Linked DNA regions of Tamandua tetradactyla. The protein of the gene in region 1 interacts with the protein of each later gene in a biochemical or structural test. Links are inferred from orthologs where the notes say so. Each region holds a gene or a part of one and is shown on either strand. Other genes may lie near its edges.

Evidence for each region. The genes of interacting proteins can lie anywhere in the genome.
Region 2: of the proteins of MTOR (region 1) and EIF4EBP1, one has a biochemical effect on the other in vitro, tested with the Homo sapiens proteins (29 studies listed by BioGRID and IntAct, with this or other methods). The link is inferred for Tamandua tetradactyla from reciprocal best matches to the Homo sapiens genes MTOR and EIF4EBP1.

Annotation. Positions count from the first base shown.
Region 1 is NC_135328.1:214,142,844-214,152,634, forward strand, and holds the start of MTOR (serine/threonine-protein kinase mTOR), read left to right. Parts: upstream 1-5,797; 5' UTR 5,798-5,917; intron 5,918-7,821; 5' UTR 7,822-7,835; coding exon 7,836-7,997; intron 7,998-8,635; coding exon 8,636-8,744; intron 8,745-9,791. Other genes in the region: UBIAD1 (ubiA prenyltransferase domain-containing protein 1), read right to left, coding at 1-295. UniProt on the Homo sapiens protein: Serine/threonine protein kinase which is a central regulator of cellular metabolism, growth and survival in response to hormones, growth factors, nutrients, energy and stress signals.
Region 2 is NC_135352.1:5,295,316-5,305,767, reverse strand, and holds the start of EIF4EBP1 (eukaryotic translation initiation factor 4E-binding protein 1), read left to right. Parts: upstream 1-6,026; 5' UTR 6,027-6,069; coding exon 6,070-6,214; intron 6,215-7,225; exon of another isoform or gene 7,226-7,298; intron 7,299-10,452. UniProt on the Homo sapiens protein: Repressor of translation initiation that regulates EIF4E activity by preventing its assembly into the eIF4F complex: hypophosphorylated form competes with EIF4G1/EIF4G3 and strongly binds to EIF4E, leading to repress translation.

The sequences.
Region 1 (9,791 bases):
AATTGCCAGCCCCGTGCACAGCCAAGACAGCCACGGCACAGCCCACCAGCAGCCTGGGATCCAAAACACCCTGGGACCTATAGGCCAGGGCACTGCCCAGTGCCACGGGGCTGAGCGAGGCACTGAAGCTCCAGGGCCGCAGGGCAAGCACGTAGGAGGCGCATTTCTGCCTCCAGGAGCGCTGAGGGAGGCTGTCCGGCTCGGGGTAGCCGTTCTCCAGCGGGTCCTGGTCCCCCGCCTTAGCCGTCTCTGTCGCCTGGATGTTTATCTCCCCCGGCGCCTGCGAGGCCGCCATGGAGGCTGCACGTGGCTTCAGTCAGTCCTGAAAGTGAGCCACCCCCAGCGCCGCGACCGCCCCGGGGCGAGGAAGGACGGGGACGGGACAGGGCGGGGCGACCGGGCTTGACCTTCCTTTGGTTCCGCCCGGGGACAAGGGCTGGGGAGGCGACGGGGAGCGGGGGGCAGCAGCGAGCGGGCCGTGCGCCCACGAGACCCCGGCGGCGCCGCCCGACCACCCGTCACCTGGGAAAGCCTGTCTTGCGTCCCCAGCCCCGGGCTAGAGTCCAAAGCCGGGCAGCGGGCGTCCCTCCCGAGCCACCGAAGCCGCCATCTTGTGCGCCGGCGTGGAGAAGCCCCTCCGGAAACCGGCCGGCAGCGCGGGCGGGGCCGGGCGGGGAAGGGGCGACCCCGCGTCCAGCAGCTGCGAGGCCCGCTGCAGACAGCCTCACTCGGCAGCGCAAGGCCGACCACACCTGGGTGGCGCTGGGTGGCGCTCACTGACGTAGGATTCCTTCATTTATTCACGCATCGAGCATTTATTGTGCCCCTACTGTGCGCCGACACTCATCTAGGCCCTGGGGACGGACGCAGCAGTGAACAGAATGGACAAAAAGCAGGGAGCACACGGACAGCAATAAGGACGATATAATTAGCGGCCCCCTCCCACCCCACCCCCTTTTAATTGAAGCCCTGGAATGGGAAGTGATGCCTAGTAAGTTATTAGCCCTAGTAATAATCACAACAACAATAATTCTCGCTTTTTATTGTGCCATTACCACATGCCCTCTGCCACCTGGCCTGGCTTTTTTTTTATCCCTTTATCTCTAGTTTATTTACTTATTCGTGCAAATAACCGCCCTCTTCCCCACCCACCAGGTGGCCGGCTCTGTCTTCATCGCCTGCCTTCTGGAAGCTTATGGTCCATGTCTGTAGCTGCTCTGACTCGCCAGAGCCAATCGTTAAATCTTCAGGAACTTTGTGAGCTGGTCCACTAAACACAGCCATTAATAAAAATTAAATTATACAAACTTCCAATTAAATTATATTAACAATAAAGGTAACAAATACTCAAAACTCATCACTTCCTAATTATTTCATTAATTTTTTTGAATCACATACGTTCTTCGGGTTATTTACACTTACTGTATCTGTATGATGGAAACACAATACAATGATGTGCTACTGCACATCTGTTCTCAACTCTTCATCCAGTGACATCCGTAAGTAGCTTGAAATCTGCCACTGGGAATACTTACACGGTGCAAATCAGCAAATGCTCGATAATTGTTTTGTTGATTATCTAGGCTTAAGAAAGGGATGGAGAAAATATTAATAATGCATGTTTGGGGTGTACCGGTAGTTCGGTGGTAGAATTCTAGCTTGCTATGCAGGTGACCCAGGTTTGGCTCCCCACCCATGCACCAGAAAAGATTAAAAAAAAAAAAAAAAAAAGCATGTTAAACTCCAGAGTGTATGAAGTCTGTAGTAATTACACTGTGTATAGCAGTGTTTAAGTTTCCATCTGCTAAAACAGATTCCCTGCAATGGCTTAACAGGAATTTATTGGCTCACTGTTTCCGAGACTGGAAGGCTCACTTCCTCCCTTGTCAGTATTTTCTGGCTGGCTAGAAACCTTTGGGGGTTCCTCAGCTTATGTCTCACATGGCAACACACATGGCCGTGTCTTCTTTCTCTTTGGGGTTCTGATGACTTCCAGCTTCTGGGAGCTCCTGGTGGCTTCTTCTTCTGTGTCTGATTTCCTTCTGAGGACTTCAGCCATATGGGATGAAGGCCCATCCTCATCAGTTTGGCCACAACTTTCAGTGGTCCTGTGTACAAATGGGTTCCCGCCCACAGGATCAGGGGCTGGGACCGGAACTTGCCTTTTGTGGGGAACATGATTCAATCCCCAACAACCACCAAAAGTTTAAGGAAATATTCTTCCAGTATTGGAAAGCTATTATCCAATTCAGCAAAAAATCATTCATGTCACTGACAAAGGAGTGAAGGCCCAACATATTTCCTGATTGTTTCACTTTCCTTTTGTTAATATAAAAGGAAATACCGGCCAACATTCATGTCAGAACTACACTCATTCATCAGTTTCAACCATTTTAAGTGGGCTATGCTATATCAAGGAGAGCATTCTGTGAGAATCAATTGGCTCTATGGAATTCACAATAAAGAGCACTGTATATTTTATTATTATTGGAAATTGTGTACTACACATCCTTTATAGCAATAAAATTTATAATACACATAATATATATGTACCCAGGATGGACCACATAATTTGCAGGACCCAATGTTCAAAACGTGGAGCCCCTTGTTCAAATATCATCAAGAATTTCAAGACAGAGCACTGTGACTTCACAGGTTCAAGCCCATGAAGCTGACCCTGTAGATGAATATATGTAGAGAGCCGCTTTCCGGGTTTGGCCTAGTGGACACGCTGCAGCCTGCTCTAGAGTTCCCCCCGCCCATCGAGTGAGCCAAGATGGCGCTCACATCCTGCTTCCGCAAATGACGCACACGCCCACCAACCCTATCTTCCAATCACCTCTGTATACGTGGCACTAACCTATTGGGTTTGGGCACAGTATATAAGAGGTTACCCGGACGGGGTGGGTGGAGACGACCCACAGGGAGCCGTACCTGACGGCCGCACAGAGGTTGTCTCCCCGCGGGGTGCTTAGGCCCGCGTGGAACCTGTAACAGAGAATGCAAGCTTAACTCCAGTAAAGGTCTGTGCTCACAACCGTTGCGTGCCTCGAACCCGTGTTTATCACTCGAGTCGGTTTGCCTGCGCCTGTCTCTTTCTCCCCTCCTGTTCCCTTCGCCGGCCGGGGATCAGAAGCCGAACGAGATGGCTGCGGACAAATATATGCACCCCCCCCCACACACACACACATGAAAGAATGATCAGTGGCCAAACCTGAGTGTCTGAAGCATTGCTGCATCAGACAAGGGAAATAAGCTAATATATTAAAATCCTGGCTCCATCACTTACCAACTATATGACTCAATCTCTCTGTATCTCAGACTACTAATGTATAAAATGGGAACAATCCATCCTGCCTCTTAAGTAATGTTTAAGAATTACAGTTCAGCAATTATGAACTGATCACATGTACCAGATAATGTTGTAGGCATTTTACAGGTATTAGCATTTAACCCCTATGACACTGTCTACAGAAGTAGGTACCATAATCATTCTTGTTTTACACATAAAGAAGTAGGCACATAGAAATTATTTGTGCCCAGGTTCAAACAGTAAGTGTTGGATTTAAGTAGCAGATTTAAGCTGACTCCAAGCCTCTTCCAAACTTTATCCTACAATGCCTACCAAAATGCCTAATACATTTTAAGTGCTTAATAAATAAAGAGCTCCTTGTAAACTAAAAAGAGATCTACAAATGCACTGATTACTGCTGTCATAAAACCATCTTTGTTAGTTAAAAAAACAGGGACTTGCTTCATTTTAAGAGTGGCAAAAATCTCCCATTTCTGGTGGGAGTGAAAATTGGCACAACTCTTAGTGAGGGCAATTTGGCACTTTCCATTGAAACTACATGTGCATGTACCTCTGATCCTGCAATCACATTTCTGGGAAATTATCTTGGTACGCCCGCCCAGGAACAAAATGATATATGTACAAGGGCATTCACTGCAGCTTCAGTTGTAAGAGCAAAAAACTGGAAACAACACAACATCTATCAATAGAAGATGGAAAATAAATTACAGTGTATTCACATAATGGAATACTATGCAGCGACAAACAAGGAAGCTTTCTATATACTGGCATGGAAACATTTTCAAGATAAAAAGTGCAGAACAATGGATATAGTTAGAAAGGGGTAAAATAAAAATATTTATTTGTATTTGCTGATATTTGCATAAAGATACTCTAGAAGGTACATAAGAAACCAAAAGAATAAATAGTAAAGGGACATGAGTGAGTGCGTGAATTTCACTGATAAATGATTTTTATTTTGATATTCCTACAGTGAATACATTCTTTTTCACTTAATTTTTATTGTAGTTATATATATACATATATGTATATAAATTTGCTATTTTAGCCTTTTTTAAGTGTACAAATCAGTGATATTAATTATTTACAAGTTGACCAACCATCGTCACCGTCCATACCAAAACTTTATCACTCCAAACAGAACTCTGCACCCATTAAGCAATAACGCCCCTTCTCCCACAACCAACCCCTGGTAACCTCTAATCTACTTTCTGTCTCCACGAATTTGCTTATTTCTAGATAGATATCTCATATAAGATATTTCACAAAAGTGAACACATGCAGTATTTATGTCCGGCTGTTTCACTTAGCATCGTGTTTTCACCAAAGTTCATCCATCTCATAGCACGTATCAAAACTTCATTCCTTTTGACCGCTGAATAATATCCCATTGCATGTATACACGGTGACTCTAATACCTACTCAGAAATTATTAATGATTAAAAAGTAGTTAAGGGGCGGTGCAACGGCGGCTCAGCAGGCAGAATTCTCACTTGCCAAGCCGGAGACCAGAGTTCAATTCCCGGAGCCTGCCCATGCCCCCAAAAAGAAAAATGTCGCTAAGAGGGTGCAAGGATAGTTTAGCGGTAGAATTCTCGCCTGCCATGAAGGAGACCCGATTGGATTCCGGCCCATGCACTTCCCAAAAAAGAAAAAAAAAAAAAAAATCCAACAAATGGTGCTGCAATAACGGGAGGCTCACGTGGAAAAAGAATGAAATGTGACCCCCACAATACAGCATACAAAAAAATAATAATAATTAAGTGCCATTTTTGTTACTGAATTTTTTGGGGGGTTGGATGGCGGGATGTGCACTGGCCGGATCCGAACGGGGTCTCCCGCGTGGGAGGCAAGCATTGTACCCCTGAACCACCTCCGCACCCCTTGCCATTGAATTCTGGGAAGTTCTTTAAAACGATAACGTTGCTTTGAAATAATTTGAGTAGCTCATTTAATTAAGAACTGGTTATAAGTTCTCAGAATGATCTTTGAGCTAAAAAATTTTTGAAAAGCGAGAAAAATCTAACTTAAAACGTTCTCAAATGCATATTACATTTAAAGAAGAGAATTCATGGAGCCATAAGCAGAGCGCGGGCGAAAATTCTGAGACGCCAGGCTCGGAATTATCCAGAGCACAGCCTCGAACCTCAGTTTACAGCCGCTTGGACCCGCCCCGCAGTACCCAAGAGAACAGACTCGGCACAGCCACATCCCCGGTGCAGAAGGGAATTTTAGCAGTGATACACCGGATGTTTGAGTGGAAGTGACGAAGTCAACTCACGACCGATTGGCTCTCCCGAGCGGACCTCAGACTCCTTTTGCCTGTCACTGGCCCCCTGGTTTGTCTATTTGAAGAATCTCCGCCCCCCGGAGAAGCCGGCTCCTGAGGCGTCATACCTCCTTCATTACTATTGGACTGTGTTCCAGCCTATCTTCTTTTTCCGTCTGTCGATTGGTCATCGGGGCTGGGGGCCCGCCCTCACTCCCGCCCTCACTCCCGCCCGGCTTAGAGGACAGCGGGGAAAGCGGGTGGTGGGATTGGGGGTCTGAAACGGCGGTACCGGCGCTGGCGGCGGCAGCTGAGGACTTGACCGAAGCCGCGCGGTGAGTCTGGGGTCTGGCACCGACTCTTTTAACGTGGCGGAATGTCCGGACTCACGGCCAGTCTGGTCCGTATGGGGTCCCGGGAAGCCGCTTGTCGGGAACGTGGGGACTCCTTAGTACCGGCACCTCGGATCTGGGCGCCACCTGGGCCCTTGACCGCCACCCGGCGAGGCACGCCCACCTCCCGCGCGACCCCCGGCACCCTCTAGCCCGCCTGACTCCCAGGCACCCGCGAGGCCTGCTCATCAGCTCCGGTGCGGCAGAAGGCCCTTGGGGGCTCTTTGCCCTGTGGTCTCAGACACGCCTTCTGAGCCACCTACAAATCCCGGACCCCCTGCCTCGGAGAGGACGCCGTCAGTGACAGCCCCTTGTTCTCCACCGTAGAGACTTCTCAGGGACTCAGTCCCCGGGATTGAGCTCGGTTCCATGCTGGGGTTTCATTCTCTTTGCCTTTCCCACGTCAAGACACTTGACTTCGAGTAGTTTACGACTGAATTCGACCCGGAGCAGATGGCCTGTGGGCCTTAGACCGTATGAAGATACACTGGTCCTTTCTTGAGAATGGGGAATCGTTTGCCAGCCGCCCACCCCTCCCCACCACCGCCACACACTCACGCACACGCAAACGGTGTAGTACTTTTCTCATGAGGGATCCTTGGAATTTCTCTTCTGTAAAAGGTGCTAATTTCCTTTTGCAGTCTTCTTGGCACTGGAGTATTTAAAAGCTTTCAAAGGCAGTTATTCCCTGTTTTTTCCTCTGCGTGTCACAAATGCATTCAGAAATAAAATTTTTTGAGTAATTGGTTTTATAATATAATTTGAACGTAACTAAGATAGGTAAATATGTGTTATTCCCGTAGGAGTCTGTCAGGAGTCCCACTATGACCACTTTATTGTGGTTGCCTGATTGTCTTTATTTACCACTGGATCTTAAGCTCACTGAAGAATGAGTGAATGATCTCAAGAATTAATCAGTCTCTTTTAGTTCACATCTGAGAAGCTAGTGTTCTATAGAACCAAACTATCTAGTACAATAGCCACCAGCCACAGGCGACTACCAAGCACTTAAAATGTGGTTAGTCTAAATAGAGATTGCTCTAATTGTAGAATACAGGCTAGATTTTGGCGACAGTACAGAATAGAATGGAACCTGCATCAGTAATCTTTTATAATGATAGCATGTTGAACTGAGATTTTGGATGTATTGGGTTAAATTAAATATTAAAATTAATTTCATTGGTTTCTTTTCACTTTTTTTTTGAAATATGGCTACTAGGAAATTTAGAATTATTTTTGTGGATCGTATTTTATTTCTGTTGGCCAGCACTGCTATAGAATAATAATCTCCCTTTTTAGATTAAACTCCTTGAGGAAGGGGGCTGGCTTACTCATTGTTTTATTCTCTCCTTTCCTCCCCACTTCTAGTACCTGGTGCTGTGCCAGGTATATAGTGGTAATAATGATAAAAATAGCTGACACTTATTGAGAAATCACTGTGTGTCTGACCCCATTTTAACTGCTTTTTTTTTTAACCTGTATTAATTCGCTTGATCCTTACATCAACCCTTTGAATTAGGTACTATTATCCTCATATTGTAAATGAGGAAACAGCTACAGAAATTTTAAGTATCTTCCTCTAGGTATATAATCTTGGAAGTAGATTTAAACCCAAGTAGTCTGGCTCCATGGCACACACTTTGACCCACTGTGTTATGCTGCTACTCACTGTTGGGTGAATGTTTTCTAGGCTTTCTACATTTTCCTCAGTGAAGTCTCCCAGCTCTTAGAATCCCCTACCTGACCTGGGGCCGGGGGGAGTGGAGATCTATGTTGAGGAGCCTAGGGCCAATAAATTCATTCCCATAGTTCATATTCAGAATACTAAAGAAAGCTTCTCTCCAAAGAACCTTAGGGCAAAATGCTTGGAACGGGACCTGCGGCGGCCACCACAGCTACCACCACCTCCAGTAATGTGAGCGTTCTGCAGCAGTTTGCCAGTGGCCTGAAGAGCCGCAATGAGGAGACCAGGGCCAAAGCTGCCAAGGAGCTCCAGCACTACGTTACCATGGAGCTCCGAGAGGTTGGGGGCTTCTGTGATTTGGGACCAGTCATTGTGGGGTGTTTGGGCTAAATTACCATCACTGTTTTAGATGCTTTTTGACAGCTAAGGAGGATTTGGAAATGTAGAGATTCTGTTTTGGAAAAACGACCAACTTGTAATGTCCATAGACTATACAGGTTCCTTTGCAGTGGTTTCACATGTCTGTGGCATTTCTTGTGTTTGTGGTAACATTTTTGGAGTCAGAGTAGAGGCTGTCTTTTTTAATTTATTGTCTTTCCTGCCACGTACCAGACCCTCATTTCTTTCTTCCTGATTATAGTGGCTGGGGAAGTTGATAACCTGGAGCTATCTAAGTAAATACTCTACATGAAGTCAGCAACAGTGTCTTGTTCATCCTTGTACGCCAAGCACTAGGTAGAACCTAGGACAAGATGTTTCCTACCATAAAGTTGATAATTAATAAAGATTTAGTAAATGAACAGATCCAATTATGAGTTCCATTGCTGCAGTTTAAAGCTGTAAAAATGGGCAGTAACTTTGTCTTCTTTGGTTTAAACTGTACCTGCTAAAAACCTCTCAGGTCCTAATCTTTGGAAGGCCCCCAACCCAAACCAGGAAGACATTAGAAATTGTTCTGAGCACATCTTCTTTTGCAGATGAGTCAAGAGGAGTCCACTCGCTTCTATGATCAGCTGAACCATCACATTTTTGAATTGGTCTCCAGCTCAGATGCCAATGAGAGGAAAGGTGGCATCTTGGCCATAGGTAAGCATGTCGTCTCTGATAACAATAACAGCTAGGAATACAGCCCCACTTATTTTTGTGTCCACTGTACCCCTTAATGTCTGCCACTTAATGGATACTAGTTCATATTTGTTTAATGAACTTCATGGGACTGGTGCTCTTATATTATACGTATCTTAGTTCTAACAACAGTCCTGAGGCATAGGCAAAGAAGGTATTTTCAGATATGAAAACTGAGTCTCAGGACTGTTAAGTGGCTTTTCTAGGTCCAGACAGTTTGCCAGAGATGGGCCTAGAAGTTGGCTTCCTTTCTGTTCTAGTTTGCTAGCTGCCGGAATGCAATATACCAGAAACAGAATGGCTTTTAAAAAGGGAAATTTAATAAGTTGCTAGTTTACAATTCTACAGCCGAGAAAATGTCCCAATTAAAACAAGTCTATAAAAATGTCCAATCAAAGGCATCCAGGGAAAGATACCTCAGTTCAAGAAGGCCAATGAAGTTTGGGGTTTCTCTCTTAAGTAGAAGGGCACATGGCGAGCACAGTCAGAGTTTCTCTCTCATCTGGAAGGACACATGGTGAACACAGCATCATCTGCTAGCTTCTTATCTCCTGGCTTCTGGTTTCATGAAGCTCCCCAGGAGGCGTTTTCCTTCTTCATCTCCAAAGGTCTCTGGCTCGTGGACTCTCTGCTTTGTAGTGCTGCAGCATTCTCTGCTCTCTCCGAATCTCCCATTCTCCCAAATGTTTCCTCTTTTATAGGACTCCAGTAAGCCAATCAAGACCCACCCAAATGGGTGGAGACATGTCATCACCTAATCCAGTTTAACAACCACTCTTGACTAAATCACATCATCCAGGGAGATGATCTGATTACAGTTTCAAACATACAGTATTGAATAGGGATTATTCTACCTTTATGAAATGGGATTTTGATTAAAACATGGCTTTTCTAGGGGGCATACTTCTTTTCAAACCAGCACACTTTCCATTCCCCCTATATTGCTTTTTACAGGATCTGGTTTCTGTGTAGAGCAGGATGGCAGAATGAGGCTCACAAATACAGAGT
Region 2 (10,452 bases), on another chromosome or scaffold:
CTTCAACTTCTGAGTGAGACTAAAGCAAGAAATGTTTATTTGGTGCATAATTTATATTTTGACTAGTGCATTTCCAAATTTAACTTATATGGACAATTTAATTGAACACCATAGGTACACGGAACCTTGAATAGTGCATAAGATTTTGTTGTTTTGTCCAGGTTAGTCTGATGCCTTGATAAACTCCAGAGTGATTTGAACAGTGAATAAAGAAGTATTTGCAAAGTCCCCTTGGGGGAATGGGGAGAAAGGGGGAAAAATTCAACTTCCCTTTTTGGAGAATTCCTGATATTCTCGCAAGCAGCAGGGACAACCAAATCAATAGGCTGAACCCTCAATCTTGGGGTTTGCCCCTATGAAACCTATCCCTGCAAAGGATAGGCTAAGCCTACTTAAAATGAGGCCTAAGAGTCACCCCCAGAGAACATCTTTGTTGCTCAGATGTGGCCTCTCTCTCTCTGACATGGCAAGCAAACTCACTGCCCTCCCCTGCTTTATGTGGGACATGACTGCTAAGGGTGTAAACCTCCCTGGAAATGTGGGACAGAAATCCTAGGATGAGCTGGGACTTGGTATCAAGGGATTGAGAAAACCTTGACCAAAAGAGGGAAGAGGAAAATGAGACAAAATAAAGTGTGTCAGTGGCTGAGAGATTTCAGAGTCAAGAGGTTATCCAGGAGGTTCTTTTTAAGCATTATATAGATAGATATCCCCTTTTTGGTTTATGGTGTATTAGAGTGGCTAGAGGGAAGTACCTGAAACAGTAGAACTGTGTTCCAATTGCCATCTTTCTTAAAGATCAAGGGCCTGGCCTATTGATTTGGGTGTCTCTAATGCTTGACATAATATCAAGGGTTTCCCAGGTGGTAAAGCTTAATAGTTCCTTATTTTTTCTCCAATCTCTAGGAAATTTGCCAATACTTTTTGATTATCTACTTAACATACTCTGGGATGTGTCCAGGCATTACATTAAGTTATACAGGATTAAAGTCCTTCGTTCTTTTTTTTTTTTTTTTAATATTTTTATTGTAAATAACAAACATACAAACATTCTTGACATGGTTATAATCAATGGCTCACAATATCATCACATAGTTGTATATTCATCACCAAGATCATTTGATCATTGATCTTCAGGCTTGCTCTTGTGAAGCTTATGTATGTAGTTGAAAAGCTTAGCCTACCTATAGGTATGCCTAAGAGTTACTTCTGGAGGACCTCTTTTGTTGCTCAGATGTGACCTCACTCTCTAAGCCCAACTCTGCAAGTGAAATCATTGCCCTCCCCACTATGTGGGACATGACATCCAGAGGTGAAAGTCTCCCTGGTGGTGTGGGAGATGACTACCGGGAATAAGTCTGGCCCTGGCACCGTGGGATCAACAATGCCATCCTGACAAAAAGGGGGGAAAGAAGGGTAACAAATAAACTATCGGTGGCTAAGAGAATTCAAATAGAGTCAAGAGGCTACTCTGGAGGTCACTCTTACATAAGTTTCAGTTAGACATTGCTACCTATCATGTCTTGCCAAACCCCAATCAAAACCAATCCTGCCAATCCTAAAGAACACCTAGGACATTCTATAAAATTCTGCAAAGGATCCATGCACTAGGGTAACTTTCCAGAAACCAACAACCTCCGGATGAGTACCTGGACCAGATAAGTCCTGAAATGCAGAGGGCCCAGCCTCTCCAGAATATCAACTAGTTCCATCCCCTATCCCCTATTATCAACAGCCCCTCCCAATAGGAAAAAATTAGAATGGACATAGTCCTAATACTCCTTAAGAATGGGAGAATGATCAAAGGTAATGGTGGAGTTATACAGAGTAGGTTGGGTTTAACAAATGGGTATGATTGCTGAATCATTATATTGATACTTCTTTTAGTCTTCGGTATCTTAGAGCAGCAATAAGTAAAAACCTAAAATTGTAGAATTGAAACCCATACCAAATTCTGAAATCTATTGTACAACTAATTATTGTGGTGTGCTTTCAAATTTATTGCTTTTTTGTATATATATCATTTTTCACAGAAAAGAAAAAAAGTCAATTGCAATGATAAATGCACAGCTATATGATGATATTGTGAACCACTGATTGTACACTTTGGATGATTACAGGATATATGACTATATGATATATATCAATAGAAAATAAAATAATAATTTATATTAATAATTGAAAATAAGAGCCTTGAAGAGACAGAAACAAACATGTTTGACTTCAGCAGCAGTGTTACTAGAGAAAGGCTATGGATCACTTTTGCAGATGTGCTCAATAACCAATTCCTGAGACATGACGTTTCATTTATTACTAGGCACATAGCAGGAGAGCAGATGGTCTAGCAGCTCAAAATTTGTCTCCCCAAAGTAGTAATTCTGATAGTTTTATAGAGAAAAAGATGGGCAGACTTTAGGACAATGAGCACAGTGGCCCCAGATGATATAATTAGAGGTGATCTAATTATTGAGCATGCGCAGATCGATTATATGCTTAGAGAACGTATGTAAGAAAATGGTGGAATGAGGTATACGTGACTCGCAAGTTAAAGTCTAAGCTACTGTGCATGCAAGAGGGTCCACTTTGGTTAGATCCAGTCTCCCACATCAAGATAACTTTGGGTTTTGGGTGGGTTAAGTTCTGGGCTGATCCAGGACCCTTCATTAATAAACATTAGGGGTTGTCTTTAGTGATTACAAGCCTCTAAAGTTGAAAAACGGTATAACTTGGTACAAATGAAGGTTAGTCCCAGGTTTTCACAATCACAGGGGCAGAAGATAAGGACTATATAATCATTATCAGAGATCAAGGCAGCTGGATTACAGTTTAGAGATTTCAGTATTTCCCTCTATTCCAATATACCAGAAAGCAAAAAGGATTATCTATATAATGATTCAATAATCAAAATCATCTCTTAAAACCCTTATTTCTTGGTTACAGCAGCACCCAAAACTATTATTATGACCTCTCAGAGGTAACTGCTAAAGAGAGGCAGTAAAGACATGTTCCCTGTCCTAAAGAAGCTGATACCAAATCAGAAGATTTGATATGAACGAGTCCCTGATAAATAAGAAGGAGAAATTATTGCAGGCAAAATGACTGGACCAGAAACAGAACTGAGGAAGGAGTCTGTCTGAGACCTAGAATATCAATGCAGAGGGTCCTCAGAGATCTTCAAATCCATCCCCTTATTTGACAGATAAGGAGATCATGGCTCAGAGAAGGAAAGTGACTAGACCAAGCTGAACAGCTCTTTAGTGGCAGAACTAGGGTGCAAACCCACAGCTCCTGATTCCCAGACTAGTGCTTCTACTATAATCACACGTTCTAGCCTACGGAAACTGCTGTGTCTTGATTCTTGGGAGCTGCTACCTTTGTGTGAGGGGCTTGTCTGGCCTTAGATGTGGAGGTGATGACCCCAGGTCTAGTCAGTCAGCAGCCCTCTGACCCCTCTGTAATTTCCCTCTTCCCCTTCTCCACCCCATTGCATGCTGAGGTCCTTGCAAGTATTGAGCTTTCTAAGCAGCCTCCTTCTCTAGACTCTTAGCCCCATGAGCTCCAGGCCTCAGATCTGACCAAACTTGCACATCCAAAAAACCAACAGCAAAACCACTTTCAGAACATCTCCTCCCCAAGGGAGGATGGACTTCTTAGCACAATGAGAAAGCACTGCCCAGCGCTCGCAGGTAGAAGACTGGGCATTTAATGGCTGTGTGATCTTGGGCAAAACTCTGCCCCTCTCTGGGCCTCAGTTTTCTGCTGTCTTTTAAAAAATAAGATGAGGGTGAATATTGTCCGGGATGATCTATAATGAACCTGCCACAGGTAAAATCTGATGATTCTGTAACTGAGAAGTTAGGATGTAAGGGATGATTATGTTGCGGAATCATTAAACCGTATTTCTTTTTGCTTTCTGGTATATTGGAGCAAACAGAGGGAAAGACCTGAAATCCTTGAACTGTAATCCAATGTCCTTGACCTCTGATAGTGATTGTATAGCCTTTATCTTATGCCTTTGTGATCACAAAAGCCTCATGACTGACCCTCATTTCTACCCATTTTATCTGGTTTTTCAACTTTGGTGTCTTGGATCACTAACGACAGCGCCTAATGTACTTTTATTTTTATTTTTTATATATTTTTTGTATGCTGTATGGTGGGGGGTCACATTTCCTTCTTTTTCCATGTGACTGTGCCATTATTGCAGCACCATGTGTTCATTTTTGGGGGTGGGGGGACGAAGTGCATGCCTAACATTTATTAACGAAAGGCACTGGATCAGTCTAAAGCAAACCCAGCCCAATTCCAAAGTTATTACTGGATCTAACCGAAACGGGCCTGCTTGGCATGCGAAGCTTAGACTTTAACCTATAAGTGACCTAGACCTCATTATAATACTAAAAATCATGCCCATCATCATATTAAGGCCACCATTTCTTTTTTCTTTTTTTCTTTTTTTAAGGCCACCATTTTCTTACATATGTTCTAGGACTAAGCATGTAATCAATCTGCACATGCTCAATAATAAAAACACCTCTACTTACATCATCGAGAACCACTGCACTCATTATCCAACCACCTGCCCATCTTTTGATACTCTAAAACCACAGATTTACTGCAGTTCAGGAAAAAAGATTTGGGGGCTGATATGCCATCTGATCTCTTGCTTCAGGCCTGTCAATAAACTCTTTATCTCTTTGAAACCCTAGTGTCTTGAGAATTGGTTCTTTAAACACTTTGGGCAAAAAATCCAACACCTTTGTTTCTTAACAATTCCCTTGTCAGGGACACCAAATGTGACTATCTAACAGCAGGCAGTAAAGTTCTGGAAATAACTTTAGGATGGCTTTAACACTGCTTCACTGCAGAATAACGGTACCCAATAGAAATATAATGAGTCACATATATCATTAAATTTTTTCTTATGGTCACATTTTAAAAAGTAAAATAAAAAGTAAAAAGAAAGGCGAAATTTATTTTAATACATTTTACTTAACCTAAAATATTCAAAATGTTATCAAACTCAGCTCAATTTAAAAGGATAATGTCCTAAGAACACCTCAGAACGATTTAGAAGGCCCTTCACAATTCTGCCCCAATTTCTTTCTCTAAAATGAGGCTATAATGACTTTTTTTTTTTTTTTTGGCATGAGCAGGCACTGGAATCCAACCCGCGTCTCCGACTTGGCAGGAAAGAATTCTGCCTGCTGCGCCACCGTGGCCCGCCCTAAAATGATATTTTTTTAACCCAACAAAGTTTTCCAGCCTCCTTGCATTTTTCCCTCTCTGGCTGGGGAACTTCTGCATCTCCTTGAAGATTCATTCCCTAGTTCCATCCTTCATTCATTCATTTAAAGAGGGTCTGCTGGATCAGGCAGCTTGCTGGAGGTTGGACCCAAAATGGAAACTACGTTGGTTCACTATGGGCACCTTCTTAGACCAATCCTTCCCCCTTCCCGCAAAGCTGAGATGGTTCCTGGAGGAGCCGCTTGAGCTCTAGCTGAACCCTTATCATCCAGCAATTTGGGTCACGTGCCCTTCTCCCACACCCTCCCCAAAGGCGGGTTACCTGCTTTATTTGCACGTATTTATTTCTTGAATGTCAGTCATATGGTGAATGCCCAATAAACAAATGAGGAGTGAATGACAATCAATCTCCTCCGGGAAAGAAGGAAGCAAGGGTTGGGAAGAATACCTGGCGTGATGTCTTAAAGTAGAAATCAGGAGTCCCCAGAGTGGGCCGGGCCTCATAGGACCCTGGCCCAGCGCCCCCAACCCAGACAGGCTTTAAACAAGAGAGGTCTCCCGCCCCGAACCTCGCCCCTGCCAGCTTAGAAGGGACAGGCAATGGGTGACCGCGCCGGGATCCCCGCGGTTGGAGCACAGACGGTCCCGACCCCGGGGTCCCAGCGCCGCCGGGGGACCCACGTGCAGGCAGCAGCGCAGGGCTGGGTGGGGCTACGGCACAGCGGTGACTACAAATCCCAGGGGGGTGCGAGCGGAAGGGGCGGTCCTGGGCGGGGCGGCCGCGCTTGGTCTGCTGCACCGGGATTTAGTACACTGGAGACCATGTCGGAGGGCAACGGCTGCAGTCAGACCCCAAGCCGGGCGATCCCGGCCACCCGCCGGGTGGTCCTGAGCGATGGCGTGCAGCTGCCGCCCGGGGACTACAGCACCACCCCCGGCGGCACACTCTTCAGTACCACCCCGGGAGGTAGGCGCCTGTTTGGGGGGCACCGCGTGCTGGCTCCGGGGAACTGGTCGTGGGGCGGACCGATGGCACCTCGCGGAAGGGGACGCGGTGCTTGGGACGCGGGCAATGGGCCGGACGGATAAGGGGCATTAAGGAGGGAGCTTGGGGTCACGGAGGTGGCCATGGGGAGTGAGCGGGCCCCCGTGGCCTGCCCTCCGGATTGTCCTCCGGAGCCCAGAGTTAGTTCTGCAAACTCCCCCTTCTGGGAGAGATAGAGGAGCACTCTCGGCCGAAACACACGCACGCTCCCTGATTGCCCCCTGCCGAGGTGTGCTTTTCCCCTTGTGGGTGTCGCGACAGTTCCAGGGTGGGACGGGGTCGGGTTAGGGTGTCCCACGGATCAGGGAGAGGCCCAGCCTGCGGCTTCTAGGGCATGGGACGGGCACTCTTATTGAATAAATAACCCCAGGGAAGGAGAGGACACCCCTCACAATACTTGTAACAGAATCCCTTTTCCTTCCCGAGGTACCCCAGTTTTGCGTTGGACTCCGTCATCGGAGTTTTGGTGGGAGGGTTGCTGAGCGCCCGGCAGCGCCTGTGGGCACGTGTGGGACAGCCCACATTCCCACGGGTGGGTTCTCCGCGGAGGGGCTCGGCGCCGCGCGCAGGGCCGTGCAGAGAAACACATTCTTCCTCCCGGGGCGGGGGGGCCGTGTGAGCTCTCCGAATGTGGATGAGGAAGAGGAAGCTGAGTCGGCACGGGTGGGGGCCATAGTCTAGGCTGCCCCCTGGGGAGCCAAGCATTCCCTCCCAGGCCGGGAGCCCCGGCTCAGTCGCGCTGATGAAACCTGCCCGCCTGTTTGCATGATGAAATCCTCATGGCTCACCACTTCCCTTCATTCCTCGCTCTGTCCCCACCCGCCTTTTCTCCTCTCCCACCGCTCGCCTTTCCCACCAAGCTATCCGAAATCGCGTTCAGCTGAGTGGCGCGCGGCGGTCGTGGAGACCCGCGCGGGCCTGCGGCGGCCTCACCTCCTGCCACATGCTCATTTTCTCAGGCAGCTGCTCCACCGCTGACGAGTACAGCCAGATCCAGCGACCTCGTATGTTTAGTCCAAAACACAATACACACGTCAGAGCCATTAGGGTTAGTAGATGTTCGTGCCTCCCCCCCCCACCCCAGCGCATGCCTCTGCCTTATTCTTCGAAACATGGCACCAAGCCCCAAAGCTTGAAAACATGTGTCATTCTCCAGAGTCACAGTTTGCCCAGATTGGGTAAGAAATAGCAGCCAGCCAGAGTAGGGAGAAATACTCTTTCTTCTATTAGTAACTAGCCAAGAGAAGTTCTCAGGGCCTCTTAGCACTCAACTCAAATTCTCTTTCCCAGCCAGCCCTTGTAGAGCCCATGCTGTTTGCTTTCTCTTTGTTATGATGTATCTTCCAGGACCTTTTTGACCATTTTGGGGTTCCTTAAGTGCAAATCTCTGTTTAATCTGTGCAGGCTAGACCCTGAGGCTGGCCCCTTTCCTGAAAGCTTTGTTGCAGGAGGAGTACTGGGCAGACTGGAAGCGGTGTCCACTCTTTATAAGAAACTCTGATTCGGTCCTCACTTTGGATCGAGAAGACCACAGCAAAACTCCTCCTCCCGTTGAAGGTTTATTCTTGGGAGAAAGGAAAGGGGCTTCTGGATCAGAGTGTAACATGTTTCTGAGGCCAACTGGAAGAAAACCCAGTGCCAGGAGCCTAAGGCCAGCTCTTCTCTTCGATGCCCAGTCAGGGTAGACACAACTCAGTCCGAATCCTGAGCCCAGCTAGCCTGCCAAAGTCGGTTTGTCTGGTCTGCCTCAGTTGGCCATGGGGTGCAGTCTACCTCCCAAGTCCAGTTTATCCCACCCCTTCGCCAGAACAGAGAAGCGTGACCTACTGATAAAAAGTCATTTCCTGGTCCTCTTTGCTTTAGTCCATGGTGGTCTCCAGGACTGTATCTCAACCTTAAATGTGCCTGTGAATTAGCTGGGGACCTCATTTAAATGCAGATTTTGACTAAGTATGCCCCTGGGTGGGGCCTGTGAGTCTGCATTTCTAATGTGCCCCCCAGTGACTGGTCCATGGGTGACATCCTGAGTCCTCAGGAATTAGTGGAATGTAGCTCCCCTTGCCTTTTCAGACCTCTGGGGTCTGGCTAAAAAGCGATGATTCTATCTAGGTAAGCTTCCGAGGTTGGGTTTGGCATCCGCTTCTAAAGGAGGGAATGGAAAGTCCGTCTTGGCAGTGTCTGCATAGGAGCCCACACTGGCAGATTTGTAGGAGGGCTCATTCTTTACGATGAGCTGCTGGGATAAGTCTCCACTAGTCACTGCAGTGCTGGTCCCTAGAGGAAAAAAACAGCAGTGGATTTGAGTGACCTCCATTCCCGTGGTTGCTCTCTATGGCCATTCATCCTTCACTCCTGAACTTAGGTGTCTGTAGGACTTGAGAGAAATTTGCATAACAGAGTGTTGGGCATGAATATTTTGAGTCGAAAATCTCCAGTGACACCATACACATCCCTTGAACTGGTAGAGCGTCTGAGTGGGTTGGAGACATCTCCTGCCTCACCCACTCAGTCTTTGCATTCCTCCTTCCATGTTGGATTTCTGACTTGCCAAAAGGGGCTGCTTGGATGGTAGGCTTACCTAAGACCTGTACTTGGGTAAAAGTAAGGTTAATCAGAAGTAAGCAGGTCTGGCTGCAGATGTTAGTGGCATCCTATTTGGTTAGACAAACAAGGTCTGTGCCCAGGAAGCTTACTCCCAAGTCTTGGGGTCGTGGAACAGATGGGAGTTCTGAAGCCACAGAACAGCCAGTGTCTCAGTGCCTTTGTCACGTGCAAAGGAGATATTGTGCTAAGGACAGGTCAAAAGAGCTTGGACATTACAGCAGTGAGGGAGAAGCCACAGGTACTCTTCCTCATATTGACCTGAGCGTCTTTTTTTATTTATTTATTTATTTTTAACATGGGTAGGCACTGGGAATCGAACCCGGGTCCTCGGGCATGGCAGGCAAGCATTCTTGCCTGCTAAGCCACCGTGGCCCGCCCCTGAGCATCTTTTTAAAGTGTGTAGAACATTCCACATAATATCCCTCTTTAAAGACTTTTTTTTAATTAAAAAAATTTAAAAAATATATATAACAAACACAAACATTCTTATGATCATTCTGTTGTACATATATAATCAGTAATTCACAATATCATCACATAGTTGCATATTCATCATCATGATCAATTCTTAGAACATTTGCATCAATTCAGAAAAAGAAAAAGGCAACAGAAAAAGATGCATACGTAACATACCCCTTACCCCTCCCCCTATTGATCACTAGCATTTCAATGCACTAAATTTATTTTAACATTTGTTCCCCCTATATTTATTTATTTTTAATCCATATGTTTTACTCGTCTGTCGATAAGGTAGATAAAAGGAGCATCAGACACAAGGTTTTCACAATCACACAGTCACATTGTGAAAGCTATATCATTATACACTCATCTTCAAGAAACATGGCTACTGGAACACAGCTCTACATTTTCAGGCAGTTCGCTCCAGCCTCTCCATTACACCTTAACTTAAAAGGTGATAACTATATTATGTGTAAGAATAACCTCCAGGATAACCTCTCCATTCGGTTTGGAATCTCTCAGCCACTGACACTTTATTTTGTCTCATTTCACTCTTCCCCCTTTCAGTCCAGAAGATTTTCTCAATCCCTTGATGCTGAGTCCCAGCTCATTCTAGGATTTCTGTCTACAGAAGGAATTGCCAGGAAGGTCCACACCCTGCGGAGTCAAGACATACGTATTTTAATTGTTTTCAGAGATTACTTTTTTTTTTCCTCAAATATTTTGAAAGGTGTGATTTTTTTTTCCTTAAAGAGCCAAAAGTCCTTCATTTCCAAATTTGCTGAAAGAGGCCAGGTTGTTGGTATAATTCAGGGAGGCATTTTCTTATACGGGACAATAAGTCATTCTAGCAGAGGACGTAGGAAGGGGCAGCAGTACTGGAAAACAAGGAATGCCCCCCAAGGTGAAGGTTTTTAAGGGAAAATGTTCATTTGTACATATATAAGGAAAACTGTTCATTTGTGCATATAGATTTTTGTGTGTACAAAGGCATGAAAAGCCTGTCATTTCTGGTCTTAAACACGTGCTGGTGTGTTTCCACCATGATGACTCATGGCATATGTTTACCTGTTTGTTTTCTTCCTTAAACAGGAAGT